Pelodiscus sinensis: one gene and its partner. The protein of the gene in region 1 interacts with the protein of each later gene in a biochemical or structural test. Links are inferred from orthologs where the notes say so. Each region holds a gene or a part of one and is shown on either strand. Other genes may lie near its edges.

Region 1 (9,545 bases):
GGATGGCATCAAAATACCTCATTAGGAAACATCTTGGTACCAACACATTGCTCACAGATAACAGGTAAATACCAATACAGATTCAGGATAAGGCCTAAGATGACAGCATGATAGACAGCAATGTTTTTGAAGGAACCATATATAATGGGTGGTATCTAGGTATGTTTGATGGTGGCAATTTCATACAACGGAAGTGATGCATAACTTGCTTATATCTATGTATGAAAGAGTATCCTAAAGGCGGTGGTTCCTAACCAGTGGTTCGGGGACCAGTGGTGGGCTATGAATCCTTGCCTGCCAGGCCATGCTCCTAGCTGCTAATGAGCCCCGTCCACTGGGGTTTCCCACGCAGCAGCAGGGTGAGTGGCTCGGTGACCAAACAGATGTGATTCAGCTGAAGCTGGGGCTGCAGCGAGGCTGTCCCTATTAGGGCAGCCTCACTGTGGCCCCAGTTCTAGCTCCAGTGGCCACTACGTGGCCTGGCTGGCAGGACCGCATGTTGCACAGCTGCAGTGCTTGGCCACAACTGGGTGCCATGGCAGCCCGGCCCCTGTTGAGCATCGCAGTAGCCAAGCTCCACGCGTTGCTTGATCCAAGCTGAGTGCCACAGCACCTGGGTTCCACGTGGCGCTTTGCCCTCGCCAATCACTACAGCTGTGCTCAGCAGGGGCCCTGTTGCAACAGTGGTCAGCTGAAGCATGGCAAGCTGCAGGCTCCGCACAGCTTTCCCGCCATGCAGGGAAGCACTCCGCACTCAGCTGGTGGCTGGAAGGCAGTAGCAGGGCTTGGTGAGGGAGGTAGGATAGGCATGGGGCTCTGGGGGCAAGGCTAGTACTGAGAGTCTCTAGGGCTGGGGGGGTGGCTGACACCGAGGGGCACTATGACATCCAGAATGGGGAGTGAGTTCTGGGGGGCTCAGGGGTCAGGGACAGTGAAGGGACTAGAGGGGCAGGGCTGGCACAGAAGAAAGGGCTAGTATTGGGGACTGGGGGCTGACACGGGGCTAACCTGGAGGGATTAGGTTTAGTGGGGCTCTGGAAACAGGAGGCTGGCACTGAGACGTTTGGGGCAAGGGGGCTGGCACTAGGGGACTCTGAGGGCGAGATGTTGGCTCTAGGGGGGTTGGGTGCAGGGGTCTCTGGGGTCAGCGGCTGGCACTGGGGGGTAGTGGAAGGGTGAGGGGCTCTAGGAGTTAAGGCTGGTTCTGGGGCTTTTTATACCACGGATCGGAACCCATTCACAATCTTTTGGCAGGCGGGTAACATTTTATTTGTATATCTGAATATTTATTACTTGCATGTGAATATGCAAATATATAAATAAAATGTTACAGGTCCGCCAAAAGTTTATGAATTGGTTTGCCAGTCCTCAATATAAAAAAGGTTGGGAACCATTGTCCTAAAGGGATTGTCTTGGTCTGGCCTAGGAGGCAATAGAGAGTCCCACCGCTTACTGAGCTGGTCCACTGCAAACACACACAGGTTAGCATAGACGTAGACATCTGATCCAGGGAGCTAGGACCATGCTTCATCAACAACAAATCTGGCCCTGATAGCTTTGTCCCTTATTGGATACTGTGGTATTTGGGGGTTCTCTCAGAGTCTGCTGTGCTGGCTACGAGCACAAAGCCAGTGCAACACAGAGGGGGAGGTCACACCACTGCAGCTCACCATTTGGGACATTTCAGTTATTAATATAAGCTAGCCACTAAGGTGTTTTGAAAATGCTTATATTTGTGGTGAAAATATCAACAATCATCTATGCTCACTGAACTACCAAACTAGAGAAGTGGCAACAGTCTAAAAATTTCAGTGTGTGTGTTAAGACGAATATTTTAAATTCACAATTCCAAGCCAAGTCGTAACTCTTGTGGTCATCCAATCTGAACTCCTGTACAACTAAGGTCACAAAACCTCGCCCAAAATAATTCCTAGAAAACATCTTTTAGAAAAACACAAACAATTTTGATTTTAAAAATAGCTAGTGATAGAGAATCAACCAAAACTTCTAATCCACATTTCAATTTCCAACCACTGGATCCTTTTATATTTTTCTCTGCCAGATTGAAGAGCCCATTAAATATTTATTCACCATGCAGTTTCTTACAGACTGTAATCAAGTTACCCCTTATCTTCCTCTTTGTTGAATTAAACAAGTGTTGAGTTAAAAAAAATCTGTAACTACAAGGGATGATTTTTAATCCTCTAATTATTCTCATGGCTCTTCTCTGAATCCACTTCAAAACATTTTTCTTGAATCATGGATGCCAGAACTAGATATTCCAATATTCAAGCAGCAGTTGCAGTAGTGCCAAATTCAAAAGGTAAAATAACCTCTCTACTTTCATTTAACGATATCTATATATCTATGCATAATAAGAAACTAAAAATTAAAAAATGAAGATGAAATTATAAACTACTTGCCTGAAAACTTTGCTAATTTCAATTTATAAATTGCTGATCTTCTTGAATACAGTTTCTATTAAAAATTACTTTTAGTACCTAACTTCTGGTGGCCAAAAGTCATGACCCTTTGTCCTAGAATAGTGTTAAAAGATAATTTCTGAAATTAGTACCTTTACTCCTTAGCCAAGCATCTGCAGAGAAGCAGTCCTAGCAAGACACCTCAGCTTCTTAGTTTGATCAATGATTCCATAAAAGAACATCAGGTAATTTCAAAGGCAATCCAAGTTTGTAGGAACAGAAAGTTAACAGATCAGTAGATTTATAGTCTTCCCATAGATTGCTATTTTCTCCAGAAACTGAACTTTGAATGAAAATTTGAAGGGAAAAAAAAAGTATAGGTTTAACAGTATATAAGCTCCAGCAATTAAAATGTGACCTTTGTTGTGATCCTTTTCAAGTGATAGAAATAATTTAGGCACTGTAAAGCCCCAATCCAATAAAATACAGGAAGAAGAGAGGTACACATTCTAGAGTCTAAGCATGTGAAACTTCAAGCAAGTGAAACTTCAAGCAAGTATTTCCACTCAAGTCAATAGGCCTACTCACATACTTGCAATGTAACCATGTATTACAACTATTTTCCAAGTTAGACCTAAATGATTACTTTTTTATAAGTATCATATATTGCAAAGCATGCCCATTTTCACAATTGTGTTGTAAAATAATTAAGGAGAAAAAAGTCTAATCTAGTAAATAAATAACACCAACCCATACCCAGGTGAGTACACGTATGCTTTGTTTTGGAAAAAGTGGTAACTTTGGTTAAGTGTTGCATTTTGACTGAAGTATTATTTCCAACTAATTGAACAAACAGGAGAGACACAAGACTGTCTACACTAGCCCCTTTTAAAAATAATTTTCCATCCATGCAGCACAACCAGCGCTAGTATGAGTGGTCCAGAAAGGCTGTGGGCCTACAATGTTTTCACTACATCTCAGCTAAAACTGTTGCAGCACGTTTAATCAAAATGACAGTAAAAACTATCCTCAGTTCTTCAGAACCTTGTCTAACTCAGCAATCCCACTGTTGTTACCATTAGTGGAGCTGCACTGAAATATCAGCCTTGTTCAGAGAAAGGTTACAGTGACAAGGCCTATGAATTTAGGCAACTTTCTGGTGCATTAAACTTTACCTGCTGATCATTTCTGTAACATTAGTGCAATAATACCAACTCGAGAGATGCTGGGACGTTTATTTCATTAACTGTTCACAAAACACTCCATGATTCTTGCTTTCTGTTTCATTTATGGGAGATGTTAAAGGCAACCCAGGTGCACAGACTAACTACAAAGGCCACAGCATGCTCCTGCTAACAGAGATAACTATGTAAAAAATATAGGAAATATGAAACCCTTCACTGTATAGACAGGGAAAACTGAGAAAGGGAAAAGCAGGTCTGGTCTCTGGATCTTTTGCTGCGGGACTGTGCCTAGCATATCCCCTCTAAGGGCCCCAGAAAGGTCAAACCAAGAGCTGCCATGCCACTGTGAAAGCCACTTACCTTCCCCCCACACTTCCTGCTCCTCTCACAAGGCAGGCGGGAGGGGAGTGTTACAAGTCAGGGTGGAAAGGGACAGGAACCAGAGAGGCCTAGAGCCGCAGCAGCCGCTTCCCGGCCCAGGCCTGACCCTCCAGGCCTGGCCCGAGTCCCACCCCGGGCCCGAGGAGCCGCCCAGCGGGCAGGCCCCACTTACCAGCCTGACTCCGAGAGCGCGGAGCTCGTCCCGCCTGCCATGGTGGCTCCCGCCGCCTCCATAGCCCCCGGCGGCAGCTGCCCACAAACTTGCTGCGGCGCTGGGCGGCCGGCTGGGCCCGTACCCGGGGCGGCTGCGGGGGAGGAGCCGCGTGGCCTGGCCCGCCCCGCCCGGCTCTGGCCGCGCCCCCGCCCCTGGGCGCCGCTCGCCCGGCTGAGGCGACGGTGGCCCCGGCGCGGAGCCCGCCGCTCGCAGGCGAACAAAGGCGCCGAGCCGGGGGCGGCTCCAGCCCCGCCGCTACTGTGGAGGCGCGAGCCCGGCGCCCCCGGGTACCAGCAGCGAGGCGGGCGCCGCCATCACGGGGGCGGGCGGAGAAGGCGGCGCCAGCTGCAGGGAGCGGGAACGGAGCGAGTGGCCTGAGCTGCGGCGCTGCCCGCGAGGTCGGGGAGGGGGCCGCGGCCAGAGCCCCGGCTGCTGCCCAGAGCCCCGTGTCAGTAACGCACAAGGGCTCCAAGGGCCTCAGCGCGGGCTGCCCGGGGCTGGAGCGCCAGGCCCAGCGGGGGCTGCCGCAGAACGTGGATCATGTGCCCAGGCGTGCCTGTGGGGCTAGGCGCAGGGCAGACCTCGCAGCGTGTAGGGCGGGAGAGACCATCGCTCCCACAGGGCGAAAGGGACCCCGCGTGAGGCTAGGCCGAGGCTCAGCCATGTGGGGCTGGCCCGAGCTTTCCCTCCCCCTGGTGCTCCCTTCCCGGTGCGAGGCTGGGGCTAGAATTGCAGCTGGCTCACGTTGAGCCTGCCATCCCTCCCCAAGCACGTTCCTACGCACCCCACTTTTTTTACCAATTTGATTCAGTTTGGGAGAGCAAAGGGGACAAAGGAAAACTTTTCCCAAACAACTAGGACAGCTGGAATAAATAGGACTGTTCTGGAAGAGAACACGTGCTCACCTTATGCATGGCTCTAGCTGCGTGGTCACCAACCAGTAGATCGTGATCTACTGGTAGATCTCAGGGGCTCTAAGGGTACGTCTAGACTACATGCCTCTGTCGCCAGAAGCATGTAGATTAGGCTACCCGACACAGTAAAATGAAGCGGCGATTTAAATAATCGCCACTTCATTTAAATTTACATGGCTGATCAGCTGTTTGTCGGCTCAGCGCGATAGTCTGGACGCTCCCCTGCCGACATCAAAGGTATTTGTCGACCACCCAGGTAAACCTCATCCCAGGAGGTTTACCTGGGTGGTCGACAAATACCTTTGATGTTGACACCCGCGCGTCCAGACTATCACGCTGAGCTGACAAACAGCTGATACGCTGTTTGTCGGCTCAGCGCGGCAGCCATGTAAATTTAAATGAAGCGGCGATTATTTAAATCGCCGCTTCATTTTACTGTGTTGGGTAGCCTAATCTACATGCCTCTGTCGCCAGAGGCATGTAGTCTAGACGTACCCTTAGCTCTTGAGCCCTCTGAACTGCGCGCCTGCGCAGTACATTTACATTAGATTTCCTCATTTGAGGAGCAGCTACTCACCAAGCAACAACACAGGTGAGTAGCTGCGAGGAATTGTGGGAGCTGGGAGGCCAGGAGGGCTGAAACACCCCAGCCAGCTGACTGTGGCTTTCAGCTGAAAGAGGCTGCCCTGCGCTCCAGCTGATGGGCGGCTTCTCCTCTGCGCCTGCCCACGTGGAGCTTGGTGCACCCTGGCTGAGCACCATGGCCAGCTGGCCGGGAAGCCGCTTCTCTTCCCTCCAGCCTGGCTGCCCTGCGCTTAGCCCAGGGAGGCTGCGTCTAGCTGCAGCTGTGCTGGAGCAAGCTTCCCGGGCTGAGCACAGGGCAGCATGGCGGGAGCGAAGAGAAGCTGCTTCCCAGCCAGCTGGCCATGGCGCTCAGCCAGGGTGCACCAAGCTCCACGTGGCCAGGCACAGAGGGGAAGCCACCCGATCAGCTGGAGCACAGTTCATCCTTCTCCGGGCTGAAGGCCACAGCCAGCTGGCCAGGCAGCTTCTTCTCTGCACCAGCCCACGTGGAGCGTGGTGCATCCTGGCTGAGCACCACTTCCAAATGTTGAAAAACCTCTTCCAAATGTTGGAAAAACCTTTTAAAAAAAACAGCAGTATAAGGATTGGGAATAGCAAGTGATGGAGAGGAGGAGAATAGAGAGAGCGGGGCTTCAAGGAAGGGGCGGGGTGGTAGATCTTGGCTTGGTCTGTCATTTAAAAAGTGATCTTGAGTATAAAAAGATTGGAGACCACTGCTCTAGCTGAACCTTCAACCCTCACTGGGAACAATTTACCTGCATAGGTCTCTGCAGTGGTACTCTAACAAGCAGTGGGAGGTCTAAATTCATTACCCCTCACTAGTGTTCCCTGTAATTTTTTATGTCCATGTGCAGATTAACTTTCATTATGTGCACCAGTAGGGCGGTGATATATCACATAACAAAAGGCATTACACACATGGACAGTGCGTGACAGGTGGAGCTAACGGATTGGGTTGAGGGCTCTAAATGGAAGTGCTGAGTGTGAAGGGGCTCAGGGCTGCAGCAAGTAGTTGGGCTACAGGAGGGGCTAAGGTGTATAAAGTCTAAAATGGGGATGAGATTGGGGTGCAGGAGAGCACTCCAGCCTGGAGTAGGGCAAAAGGATTCAGAATACCGAAGGGGGATGCAGGTTGAGGAAGGGGATTTGGATGCAGTAGGAAGTGAGTGTTCTGGAGCAGAGGTTGGCGTGCCGAAGGGAATACAGGCTGTGGGCTCAGGTGTGCACTTTGGGCACCAGGTTTATGGGGGGCTCAGGGCTCGAGCTTATCTGGATGGCTCGTGGTGTCTGCCTGGTATCTGCCTGTCTGGGGCATCACCCCATGCCCCAGAAACAGCCAGCAGGTTTGGCTCCAGGGGTTGGAGGATAAGGTGTAAAATCCCATTTATTTCATTAGCTGGTTAAATGTCAAGTTTAACCAGTTAAATGGAGGGGATCAGTGGGGGGACACCACAGATGGGAGCTACTCTGGCCAGGCAGGAGTGCACTGGGCCCTTGGCAGACGGGGGGCTGCTCCAGCCCATATCCATTACCTGTACCCGGTAAGCCACCCATTAAGGACACCGCCCACCCCACTCAGTCAGGCTGCGGACAATGCACAGAGCCCTGTGCCTTCCTCCCCCTGCTTAAGTGCTGGATCTGCTGGCTGCTTCCCCACCAGTTCCTGCAGAGCTACACTGGCTGCACTCAGTGCTGGAGCTAGCAGGAAGGAGGCCCCTTCCCCCCACCACAGCAAGTCTGTGTTGGGGCTGGTGGGGATGGGCCCCTTCCCCTCCCACCTGTGGTTGCTCCATGTGGGGGCTTGGGAAAGGGTTCCTCTCCTTTGGCCACTGCAGCCCTGAGCCTCTTTGCAGTGGTCCAATGTAGCACACTGAGCTCCTCTGAAACATATCATATACAGTACAGTTAAATAAATACAAGCTATCAAATCTGCACTCATCTGAATTTGAGGAGGGGGGAACTTCCATACTCTTAATCATTTTTGTTACCCATCCTAGTACCAGTTCCAATTCTAATGTATCTTTTTTATGAGGGGGTGACGGGACTTGCATGCAATATTTAAGTTGTGAGTGTATCATGGACTTATGTAGTATAAAAGCTTCAGGGGGTAGCTGAGTTACTCTGTAACAGGAAGAACTTAAACAACAAATATTCTAATAGCACTTTATAGACTAACAAAACATGTAGATGGTATCATGAGCTTTCATGGGCACAAACCACTTCTTCAGATGACCGGAGTGTTGGAAGTCCAGATCCAAGAATAAATAAAGGAAGGAGAGAGGGGAGAGCTTCTGAAGCTTATCTATTTACTATCTTTTTTTCTTCCTCGCCTTCAATTTTTTTCTCCCTCCCCTCCCCCCATGTTTTGTTAGTCTTTAAAGTGCTACTAGACAATTTTTTTATATATAGTATAAGCATTCTGAAAATGAAGCCTCTATTCTAGGTGTCCAAGCCTGGCCCTCCCTGAGGCCCGCACACACACCTGTGCCTTGCAGCACTGTCCATGGGTGCGGGTGCTGCCTCACACAGGCATGCCCATGTGCTGTGTGCAGCACACCTCAGTCTGTCTGGGGTTGGCCTTGTGCCCTTGCGCCCAGCCTGCTTCCAACTGTGGCAGGTGGTGGGTAGACTTGTGTGCCCTCTCCCAGGGGTCAGACGTGTGTGGCCTCCCTGAGCATGAGAGGAGGATCCCGAGGGTGCTCAGGGGCTGCGTCTGAGGCCTCATGGCACACACTGGCACTGCACATAGTTCAAACTGCAGCATGAAGTCCAGGGCGAGCAGGCTGAGCGATGTTCACACCCCATCCTCTCTGCACCCGCCTCAAGTGTGTGGAAAACTGAGAGCACTCACCTAATGATCTCTCCCCACCATTAGAAGATGCCTGCGACACATCCTGGCTCAGGGGTACCAGCTCCAGGCTCAATGTCACAGTGCTGGTCGTGTCCTCTTCCTCCTCCTGCCCCTGCTGTCCCTTTTCCTCCTACTTCTCCATGACCTCTGGGAGGGCGACGACAGGCATCGACCACCATGGGTGGGGAAATGGCTTCCCCAACCCCCAGGATTTGGTGAACCTTCTGGTAATAGGGGCAGGAGTGGGTCCAGCCCCAGAATGTAAGCTGCAATCCCTGGCCCTGGCGGCACTCCTTGACTTTACTCTAGACCTGTTCGAAGGTCCAGAGGGGGTGTCCCCGCTCTGCCAGGGCTGCAGCCATGCGGCCATGGATTTTGGTGTTTTGGTGTCGGGAGCAGAGATCCTATAGGGTCTCCTCCTCCCCGCACAGCTCGAGGAGAGACAGGTTCTCCATTCCGGACCAGGAGGGTGCATGCTGCTTGCTGCCCCTGGCTGGGTCCTGGAAGCCCTGGTGCTGCTCCCTGCGAAGGCTAGCAGGGTCTCATGGGGCTTGTGGCTGGGCCACGGCTGGCAATGCCTGTGGCAGAGAGAGCCACACAGTCAGGTGCTGCTCCAGGGCCAGCTTCCTGCCACAAGGATTTTCCAAAGTGCCTGCAGCTTTAAGAGGTATCAGGAGATAGGAACTATAGAGTTCTGATTACTTTCGATGGGAGTGGCCACGAGGGCATCTGTGTTATTTCCTGGAGGCCTCTTCCAAAAAAAAAACCCTTTTCCCTGTCCACATACGCCTTTTTCCGAAAGAGCTCTTTCGAAAAAAGGCTTTTTCCTCATAGAAAGAGGCTTATTGCTGTCGGAAAAAAACCCTCAGTTCTTTCAACTTTCTATCAAAAGAACTCAATAGCAACATGGACATAAGTGTAGTTTTTTTTGGAAAATGGCCATTTTTCCTAAAAAAATTTGCAATGTAGACATACCCTCCATGTGATAAGCCC
Region 2 (9,755 bases), on another chromosome or scaffold:
TCCAGGGGTCTGGCCCAGAATTTGCTGTCTCCTCTCTGCAGAGAAGAGTGCAGATGGAAACAAGGGCACCATTTATGGGAGTTGGGGGGCAGCAGTAGCCCCCTCCCATGTTTGAACCCCTGGATTTCAGAATTGAAGTTTTCTTAAAGTGCATGTTCTGACTCCAGAAGCAGCTCTTAATTGCAACAGAATTTGAGCTGCTTGCTGCTTTGCCTTTGGGGCAGGGAGCTTGTTATAAAGAGAGGGAGGCAGGGTGATAAAGAATAACAAAAGGCTGGGTATTCCAGTAACTGAAAGTGCATTAGATCATCACGAAAATATTGCTGAGTACTCCACTTAAAGATAGGAGAAAAGAGTAGGAATGAGTGTTGTGCTGCAGGGATCTGCATTTATATCACTGCTCTTAAACATCTCATGTTCTTGAAAAATGGGTAAACAATGACTAATTCAAAGGTGACTGCAGAGTTACACAGGGATCTCACAAAACTGGGTGACTGGGCAACACAAGAGCAGATGGAATTCAGTGTTGATAAGTGCAAAGTAATACACATGGAAAATATAATCTCAGCTATAGATACTAGGAGGCTGTGCCCCCTGCTCGCTATGCTTGCCAGCCCCCCTCTTGCTCTCTGCTTTCATGGCCAGAGAGTTTGTTAATCTTGCAGAGTCCAGCTGTGCTTTCCATAGCCCCAAGTCACTCACAACCTTCTCCACTCCTGCCCACCCCACCCCTGGACTGTCTATATCTGAACACTTTTAGCCCATCCCACCTACTCATGCCCTTCAATTGCCAGTCAGTCTCCCCATCCAATGCCTTTCCTGCTGTTGCCCAATCTGCCAATAACTCCATTCCCTATCCTTGGTGTAGGCCTGATGCAGTTCTTTAATTTTCATTTGCACCTGGTCCAGTGTGTATGTGTGGCCATTCTGGGCCAGGCTGGCGGCCATCTGACCATAAACATCCGCAGTCCTGAGTCTGATGTGGAGATCCTGGAAGTTGGACTGCTCACCCAACACCTCAATGAAATCCAGTATCTCTGCACCGGTCCAGAATAGGGCACTTTTTCACCCCTGGAGCTTCCGGGGTGGCTGCTGGCATGCGTGCAGCCATAGGAGGCTTGGAGGGAGCACTGGGGTCTGTCATGACAGCAGCGTAAGCTGTGCAAGGTGCTGCAGTGTGGCATGGGGCTAGCAGGAATGATATGGTGCCACAAGCCCTTTCCCTTCTTCCTGCAACTTTAAACCCTGCAGAAGAAGGGAAACTATAGAGTTTTGAGGGGTGTGAACAGAGTGGCCACTAGAACAGCTGTGAGATGCCCTTGAGGCCAATTATTTCAAAATAAGCACAGCTGACCCGTCCACAGTCACCCTATTTCGAAATAGCAATTTTGAAATAGGCATTACATTTCGTAGAATGAGGGGATATTATTCTGAAATAACAAGCGCATTATTTTGAAATAATTTCAAAATAACAGGCTTGCTGTGTGGATGCTCACCTTGTTATTTCAAAATAACAGGAGTTATTTATAGCTCAAGCTGGCTTTACAGTTCAAGCTGTAGAAGTACCTACAGTAAGCTCCAGAGGTCCCTGGTTCAAACCTGCTTGTCGGTGATTAAAACTAGAGCGGGTGGGCAGGCAGGCGGGGGGTTCATCCAAGATTGCACCTGAGTCTCTGGAGCTTAAGATGTGCTTCTTTAGCTATGGGAAGTATGTAATCCACAGACCTAGTGGGTGTGGTTCATTGTCTCATGTAGCAGCTCTTAGCCCACTTAGAGAAGGGAGTGTGCCAGCTGACTTTACAACTCAAGCTGTAGAGGATCCTACATTAAGGTGCCAGGTTCATATCTGCCTGATGGAGGTTACACATCTATGGCAAGAAACCAGTGAATGAAGGATGAAAAGCTTGTCTAAAAACTGAAGTTGTGCTGTTTTAGTTTAAATCAGTTGAATTAACCCAGTGCAACTTTTATGTGTGGACTGTTTTATATTGATTTAAAATGGATTCTATAAGTTTTGCTTGCACATTTTATATAAATAAGATTTAAAGTGATAGAAGTCTGTATACAATTGCACTGGCTTAAATAAGTTGGTATAAAATAACACTGTTGTTATATTGGTAACAACTTTGCAGACTAGCTTAAGGGAAAATCTTAACTGTGAATTTCCCTGTTCTTGTAAGAACTACCAAGATATTTAAGGTTACTTCAATATCGTTTTTGCATGTTTCTATTTTATTAAGAATCCTTGAATTAAGGAAATATTATATGAGAGTCTGAGACTTTTAGAATTGATATTATTTTCAACTTACATTACTATGGTGTATTAGAAAATAGTACTTACAAAATTAAATCATTGTAGGATAGGAAAAATCACCATTCTATTCAGAAACACTAAACAGGTTGAAACTCTGCAGTCTGGCCCCCTCAGGACCTGACTGAATCTAGATCAGAGAATTTGCTGAATCATGGGAGATCAATATTGTCTATCAGCATGCCGACACTTTCACTGCTTATTGGGCTCTTAAAAGACGGTTGGAGTAAATTAGAGCTAAATAATAGCACAGGACATTGAGAGCCAGGACTGATGGCTGTAAACAAACTTTATTGGACTGTGGGAAGGTTGACACACCCCTGATAAGCGGACATCCAGATAACTGAAATCATTCTGGACCACAGATGTTTCTGGCCCAGAGAGTGCTGGACTAGAGAGATTCAACGGCTGCATCTAGACTGGCATGATTTTGCAGAAATACTTTTAACGCAGTGGTCCCCAACCTTTTGAGGTTGTCAGGCGCCAAGGGGCGTGGCCGTTCGCCCGCCGGGTGCCGGGGGCGGGGACACTTGCGCGCCCGGGGGCGGCCCCCCCCCATAGCCGCATGCCCAGGGCCGGGGCCACCCCCCATAGCCATGCGCCCGGGGCCGGGGCCCCCCCATAGCCACGCACCCGGGGCCGGGGCCCCCTCCAAGGGCCGCACGCCCGGGGCCGGCGCTCCCCCCCCGCAAGCGCCGCGCACCCAGGGCCGGCGCTCCCCCCCCCCCCGCAAGCGCCACGCGCCCGGGGCTGGCGCTCACCGTGCGCCATGTGCCCGGGGCCAGGTCAGCCCCGAGCACCTGGCGGGCGCATGCAAATGCCCCCGCGGGCACCGTGTTGGGGACCACGGTTTTAACAGAAAAGTTTTTCCGTTAAAAGTATTTCTGCAAAGGAGCGTCTAGATTGGCACGGATGCTTTTGCACAAAAATGCTTTTGCGCAAAAGCATCCGTGCCCAATATAGACGCGCTTTTGCGCAAGAAAGTTCCGATGGCCATTTTAGCCATCGGGCTTTCTTGCACAAAAAATTAAGGTGCCTGTCTACACTGGCCCTCTCGCACAAGTATTCTTGCACAAGAGTGTTTATCCCTGAGCGGGAGCATCAAAGTATTTGCTCAAAAAGCACTGAATTCTTACATTAGAATATCAGTGCTCTTGCGCAAATTCAAGCAGCCAGTGTAGACAGCTGGCAAGTTTTTGTGCAAAAGCAGCCACTTTTACGCAAAATCTTGCCAGTCTAGACGCACCCAACCTGTATATAGTTCATTGTGCTGGTGGAACTTAGTTTACATGAGTTCAAATTGTGAATTGGCTTGTACATGTCTGCCACACTCTCTATTGGATTTAAACATAACTGTTCAGCTGCATAAAATCTAATGTAAGGTGGACCCTACTGAAACCATGGTCTTTTCATTTATTTTAGTGTGGCAGAAACTAATGTTTTGAGGAGAAACAATAACTTTAGTTTTGCATTATTCATTCCACATAGGAGACAGGTGGCAACAGGAACTGCTACAGAAAACAACTTAACAGGGCAGCTTTTATTGCTTTAGTTAGTATGGAGAAAATTAGCAGCAGAGGGGATTAAGAATGAAATTCTCTCTCACCAAAGAGCAGCTATTGTCCATCCCATTTTAACATTTTTCTCCACTTAAGCTCAACCTGGAGTCAGACCAGGGGTAATGTTCAAAAAGCTCCATTTGTGTCAGCAACATTTGGGAGTCATAGTGCCTGATCTTCTGATGTCCTGCGTGTAGTCATTGTGGGTACAGGCTAAAGTTGAATTAAGCTACACTACTTCATCTACGTCAATTGTGTATTTTAATTCTGAACAGCTCAACTCAGATTTAGGCACAGTCTACACAGAAAGAAGTCGAAGGAAGAACACTCTTACTCCAACTTTCCTTACCCCTCATGAAATGAGGGTTACAGAGTCAGGGTAAGAAATCCTTCAGCATTATTATTTAGAAATATAGGCTTGTAGAGTAGATGTGCTCTGTGTTATTTCCGAATAACGTCATTTATTCTGAAATAACGCTGCTGTGTAGATGCACCCTGTGAGTGCAACATAAACCTCCTTTGGTCTTTGTGCTGGTGAAAACTGTTCAAGGTTCAGGGCAATGAAAAATACAATCCATCTTGTAGAGAGGGCTTCTGTGGCTGCCCGTGTCATAAGCACTGTGTCCATAAGACCTACTCAGATGCATGTTAGATGATCTGGGCGATCCCCCTGGAGCAAGCCTCACTCTGCTTCCCCCTACCCTACGCCTGCACCCCACCCTTTCCCCACCCCCTTGCCCATAGACTACTCCCCCAACAAGGCCAACTGGGTGATTAGTAGGGAGCCTGGCTCAGGGCAGCAGCACAGGGTTGGTCTCCTCTCTGTCTCCCAGCAGCCTGTTCTGCTCCATTCTACCACCCTTTCCCAGTCCACTGTGCTCTGCTTCACTTCGGGGGTGAGAAGTGTTGCACCCTGAGGCCAAGGTGCTCTGCTTCCTGCTGCCACAGTGAAGTGGATCACAGCAGGTTGGGCAAGAGTGTGAGGGCAGGGTGGGGTGGAGCAGAGTAGGTTGCCAGGTTGCTCCAGCTCCTTCCACCATAGTGAATGAGAGGGCACCTTGACTGTCACCCTGCACTAGGTCCTCCCTCCACAGGTAATCCCCGAGGCCACCCTGGACAGGACAGCTCTGTCTGAAAATATTTATCTCTACATCCGCAGCTGCAGATACCTGAGTATATTAAATAGATAATTGCAAATCTGCAGGATTTCTAGATACAACTTTTGTATCTGTATCCACAAAAATGAGCTGCAGATATCCACATTCACATTTACAGATGTAGAAACCTGTAGATATAAAGCAGATATCTGCTGACATAAAGGGTACTAACCGTCTCGCCACTGGGAGGGGCAGGACCTGAGCCAGTGAAGAAAAGCATTTCTCTGGGGGGCAAAGATCAGGACAAATGTAGGATAGCCTCTGACTGAGCACAGAGCCAATGAGTGGAAGCATCACCCTGAGGACAAAGGGTGGGCGCCAACTGGAGAAGAAACGGCTCTCTAAAGGCAGAGGGAAAGCCAGTGGGCATCTCCCTTAGGGCAAGAGCCAAGAGCAACAGGAGGACAGCATCTCTCAGAGGAAGGCAGCAGACCAGTGAGTGAACAGCATCTCCCTATGGGCATAGGACCAGTGGGCAGACAGCATGTCTCAGGGCAGGGGCAGACAAAATAAAGCCCACAGGCCAGATCAGACCTACTAAACCTCTGCATCCAGCCCAAGGGAGTCTTTCCCGGGCACCCTGCCTGCCAGCCTGCTCCTGCGCACTGCTCAGCGCAGCTCTGAGCCCTGCACGCCCAGAGAAATGGGGAGAGACGCTGCACGCACAGCTCCTCCCACTGGCAGGGGCGGGGCCAATGGGCAGCTCTCTCCTCCGAGCGCCTTTGCCCATCTCCCGGACGGGCTTCCGGCGCGGTGACCCGGAAGTGGAAGCGGGGAATCAATGGCGGCGCGCGGGGGCTGGTGAGCGGGCCGCTGCGGGGGGCGCTTTCTGGGCCGGGTCTGCGGGATCGGGGCCTGGCAGCGGGCAGACCGGAAGCCGCCTGCGGGGCGCGCGAGGGCTGCAGTCGCTTTGCCATGAAGTGAACCGGCTTCCTGTGGACTTAGCGGGGTGGGGAAATCCGGAATCGCTCCGGGGTTTCAGGCTGAATCGGCGCAGGACGGCGGGAATCGTTCTGGGGTTTAGATAACGGGGAAGAGGGGGCTGGGGATGGGAGAGCCGCTTAGTTGGCTTTGGACTTGGAAAAACAGCAAGAACGCTAGTTCCCATTCTGGATCAGCCATCCTGGAAAGCTGCATTTGATGGGCGGGTAAAATAAACCATTTTTTCCCAGTCACTGAAAAGAATTCTTCAAAGGAGTCACTGGCTGGTAAATTATAGTAGCTTTCATCCTGGAGTGAATTGTTATAGCCAAGCTATAAACCACTGTGTGTAATGGAAATGCTGATACAGCTTGTATCCATAGGACCACCTAAACACGATGACAGCAGAACGGAATAGTTGTTTGAAAATGATTAAGTGACAGGAAAATGTGTATTGTTGGCATACACATATAACATTTTGTATCCCATTTTTTTCTACACATGATTTCATTTAAACTCAAGCTGTTTTTCCCCCTCTTTTTAGGCAGAAAGATAATACAGTGAGAACAAAGTGAAGTTTATGCTAGGCTAAAATCCCTTGATTAAGTCTTCCAGCCCTTTGAACTCCATAACTAAAAATGAAGACGGTGTTTATGGTTGCAGAGAAGCCTTCTCTGGCTCAGTCTATTGCCAAGATCCTCTCAAGAGGTAAGACAGAAAGCTTGCTAATCTCTTCAGTCTTTTTTGTTTCTCTTAGAAAGGGTATGTTTGTACTGTAAGAAATAAATTTATTAAAACACATATGTGTATCTCTTTGTTTGGAAGTAAAGCAATTTACTAATTGCTGCATATTACAAAGACTACTAGATTTCAAGGAAGGTGGAAGCTAAAAAAAAAAAACCCTACTATTTGGATGCAGATGTTAATCTGAGCTGCCAGCTGCAGATGAAACTGGATGACATTCAGCATTTAAAAGGTTGTCAATAGAACTCTCCTCCATCTTTCCATTTGCTGCTGCTTAGTTGACTGGGTTTTTCTTGCTTGGAAAACCAACAAGAATGCTACTTTCCTTTCTGAGTCATCCAACCTGTAAAGTTGCATTTATTGGTGGGAAATTTTTCAACAATTTGAAACAAAGTATAAACCTGTGTGCCAGGAGACTGATTTTGTTACTTAATATAATGTTTTTACTGTTCTATTGTACTGTTCAGAGATTCTAAGTAAGTAGTAGATCCCTTGCTCTGAGGTTTTTCTGGCTTAGAGGCATGAGCTGGTATAGTACAGCTCTCTATATATAATGCAGAGTGTGTTCATTATACTTTGTGTTGATCCACAGGATAAGTTTGGGACATGTTAAATGGAAGGTTGTTGCAAATATATAGTGAGATGTTAATAATGGCCCAAATGAGGGAGTTCGCAAGAGAGAAACTTGTGTAGAGAATAGAAGGGGGTTCAGGAAAATCTGGAGATACAGAGGAAAGACAGAGTTTCATGATGCAAGAAACAAGATTACTTTCAGTATTTTAATGTCTGTTCATATTTATTTTATTTTTTTGTACAGGAAACATGTCTTCTCATAAAGGGCTGAATGGGGCATGCTCTGTTCATGAGTACACTGGATCATTTATGGGGCAGAGTGTCCACTTCAAGATGACATCTGTGTGTGGCCATGTGATGACTCTGGATTTCATAGGTATTGTCTATTTGTTGTCTGTTTGATTTTGAGCAGTTTGCAACTTTTTAAAAAAAAAAACAGCACTGATGCAAAATTAACTGTGATTAGTAAAATCAGAGTCACTGCTTCACTGTAAATTGGATAAGAGAAAGGAGTTAAGTCAAAGTATAGTCTTCAGATTAAGACATTGTCTAGATTTGGAAGCTCTAAGTTTCATTCCTGATATTGCAACAGACTGTGTGATCTAGGGCAGTGTTCTCATCCAGGTGTCTTGATCCTCGGTGTAGGGAGGGACAGGGGCGCAGCAGGTTCCAGAGACATCCAAGCTGGGCCAGCATTAGACTTTCTGGGGCTCAGGGCAGAAAGCTGAAACCCTACTACTGCATAGTGCTGAAGCCCAAGGCCTTGAACCCTGCCACCGATGCTGAAGCCAAAGCCTGAGCAACTTAGCTTCATGGAGCCCCAGGCAATTGCCCTACTTGCCTAATGCCAGCCTTGGCATTTATATGCAGAAAACCAGTTGTTGTGGCACAGGAGGACTATGGAGTTTTTATAGCATGTTTGGGGAAGAGAAGGGGATCAGAAAGAAAAAAGTTTAGAACATCAGATTTTAGGGCAAATCACTTATCTTCTCTGTGCTTTCATTATTTTATCTGCAAATGGGGAGATGAGTCTAAATTTTCTAATGTTTTCAAATACTAAGATTCTTGGATGCAAAATATTATTAAAAGGGCCTGGTGTAAAAATGTGATGGAATATTCAAAGAGGTATGTAATGGCTTAAGTGCATGACTAGGAACTCCTTGGATTTTAATGTTGCCTCTCACTGACTGTGACACAGAGATTGTCATTTGACAACTGTTTTTCCATCTGTAAAATGAAGATAATACTTAACTACCTCACAGGTGTTATGAGGAGTAAATAGTATGCACAGTGCTTTGAAGATGTCCGACAGTATGTTAGTGCTAACAGTTACAATCAAGAATGACTGAGATATGGAAAACAAAAGAAACAATATAATGGAGCCCAACAGATTATATAGGAGAAACAATGAAACTGACTATTTATAAAAGGACTGTAAAAATGCTCAAAGTGAGTAAGTTGCAGAAATAGAAGAACATAACTTTTTTTAACTCCTCCCTCTAATGTTTCAGTTATAGTTACTTGTCACAAAACAAATTTCCTTTAGAAATGTGTTTTTGTTGCTATCCCTTTAAAATATGACTGATCTCAATATAAATCAAAGTTAGAGGCCATTGCAGCACTTGGTGGAGAAGAATGAAGCACTGAACTTTCTAAAAGAATGCCATTTCTATAGTCAGCATACTATGATTAGCTTTGCAAGCTATGTCTTTGTACAATAAATGTTTTATTTAAGGTATTTAGAACTGTTTCCCATTTCAGGAAAATATAACAATTGGGACAAAGTGGATCCAGCAGAGCTTTTTAGCAAAGCCCCTACAGAAAAGAAAGAAGCTAACCCCAAATTGACTATGGTGAAATTTTTACAGGTATTCTTTGAGATGTATTTTAAACTGTTTTGGGATTTTTTTTCAAATGGTTAGTGTTCTCTTTAACTACAAGCCTGACTAAATGGACTCTTGTACATTTCAAAGGAGGTATGCGGAAGTGCCTATCGACCTGTCGTGTAGGCAATGGAAATTCCATCAACAACTTGACTAGTAAATTAGTCGTTCGTTAACATCCCTAGATCACGGTGCATAATCAGCTCCACATGAGCTCCCATGTGGTGCTGTGGCCACAAGGGCTAATGCAGTCTGTGGATGAATAATAAATGGAATCTCAAGCAGGAGTAGAAAAATCATCTTCCTTATTTGGCACTAATGCAATTACTGCTGGAATACTGTTTCCAGTTGCAGTGTGCACAGTTCAAGAGGGATGTAAAATCTCATTTAGTTGAGTAACCGGTTAAACATATTGTTTAACCAGTTAATCAATTAAAGGGGAACAAGCTTGGATGGGGGTCTCCAGCCCAGTTGGACCACTTTCCCACCATTCCTCCCACTAGTGTTGCCAGATGGTTGAACTAAAAATACTGAAAACACCTTCCCCCCTCTACCCTCCCCAAAAAAACCACTGGGGAAAAAATTCTGTTGGGGAAGGGGAGGAGAC

What was found. The genes of interacting proteins can lie anywhere in the genome.
Region 2: the proteins of TDRD3 (region 1) and TOP3B form a complex in vitro, tested with the Homo sapiens proteins (2 studies listed by BioGRID and IntAct, with this or other methods). The link is inferred for Pelodiscus sinensis from reciprocal best matches to the Homo sapiens genes TDRD3 and TOP3B.

The regions. Positions count from the first base shown.
Region 1 is NC_134711.1:278,659,595-278,669,139, forward strand, and holds the start of TDRD3 (tudor domain-containing protein 3), read right to left. Parts: upstream 4,520-9,545; 5' UTR 4,223-4,519; coding exon 4,161-4,222; intron 2,767-4,160; exon of another isoform or gene 2,576-2,766; intron 1-2,575. UniProt on the Homo sapiens protein: Scaffolding protein that specifically recognizes and binds dimethylarginine-containing proteins. Plays a role in the regulation of translation of target mRNAs by binding Arg/Gly-rich motifs (GAR) in dimethylarginine-containing proteins.
Region 2 is NC_134725.1:16,992,962-17,002,716, forward strand, and holds the start of TOP3B (DNA topoisomerase 3-beta-1), read left to right. Parts: upstream 1-5,717; 5' UTR 5,718-5,828; intron 5,829-5,860; exon of another isoform or gene 5,861-5,947; intron 5,948-6,492; 5' UTR 6,493-6,586; coding exon 6,587-6,656; intron 6,657-7,507; exon of another isoform or gene 7,508-7,509; coding exon 7,510-7,641; intron 7,642-8,527; exon of another isoform or gene 8,528-8,714; intron 8,715-9,026; coding exon 9,027-9,133; intron 9,134-9,755. UniProt on the Homo sapiens protein: Releases the supercoiling and torsional tension of DNA introduced during the DNA replication and transcription by transiently cleaving and rejoining one strand of the DNA duplex.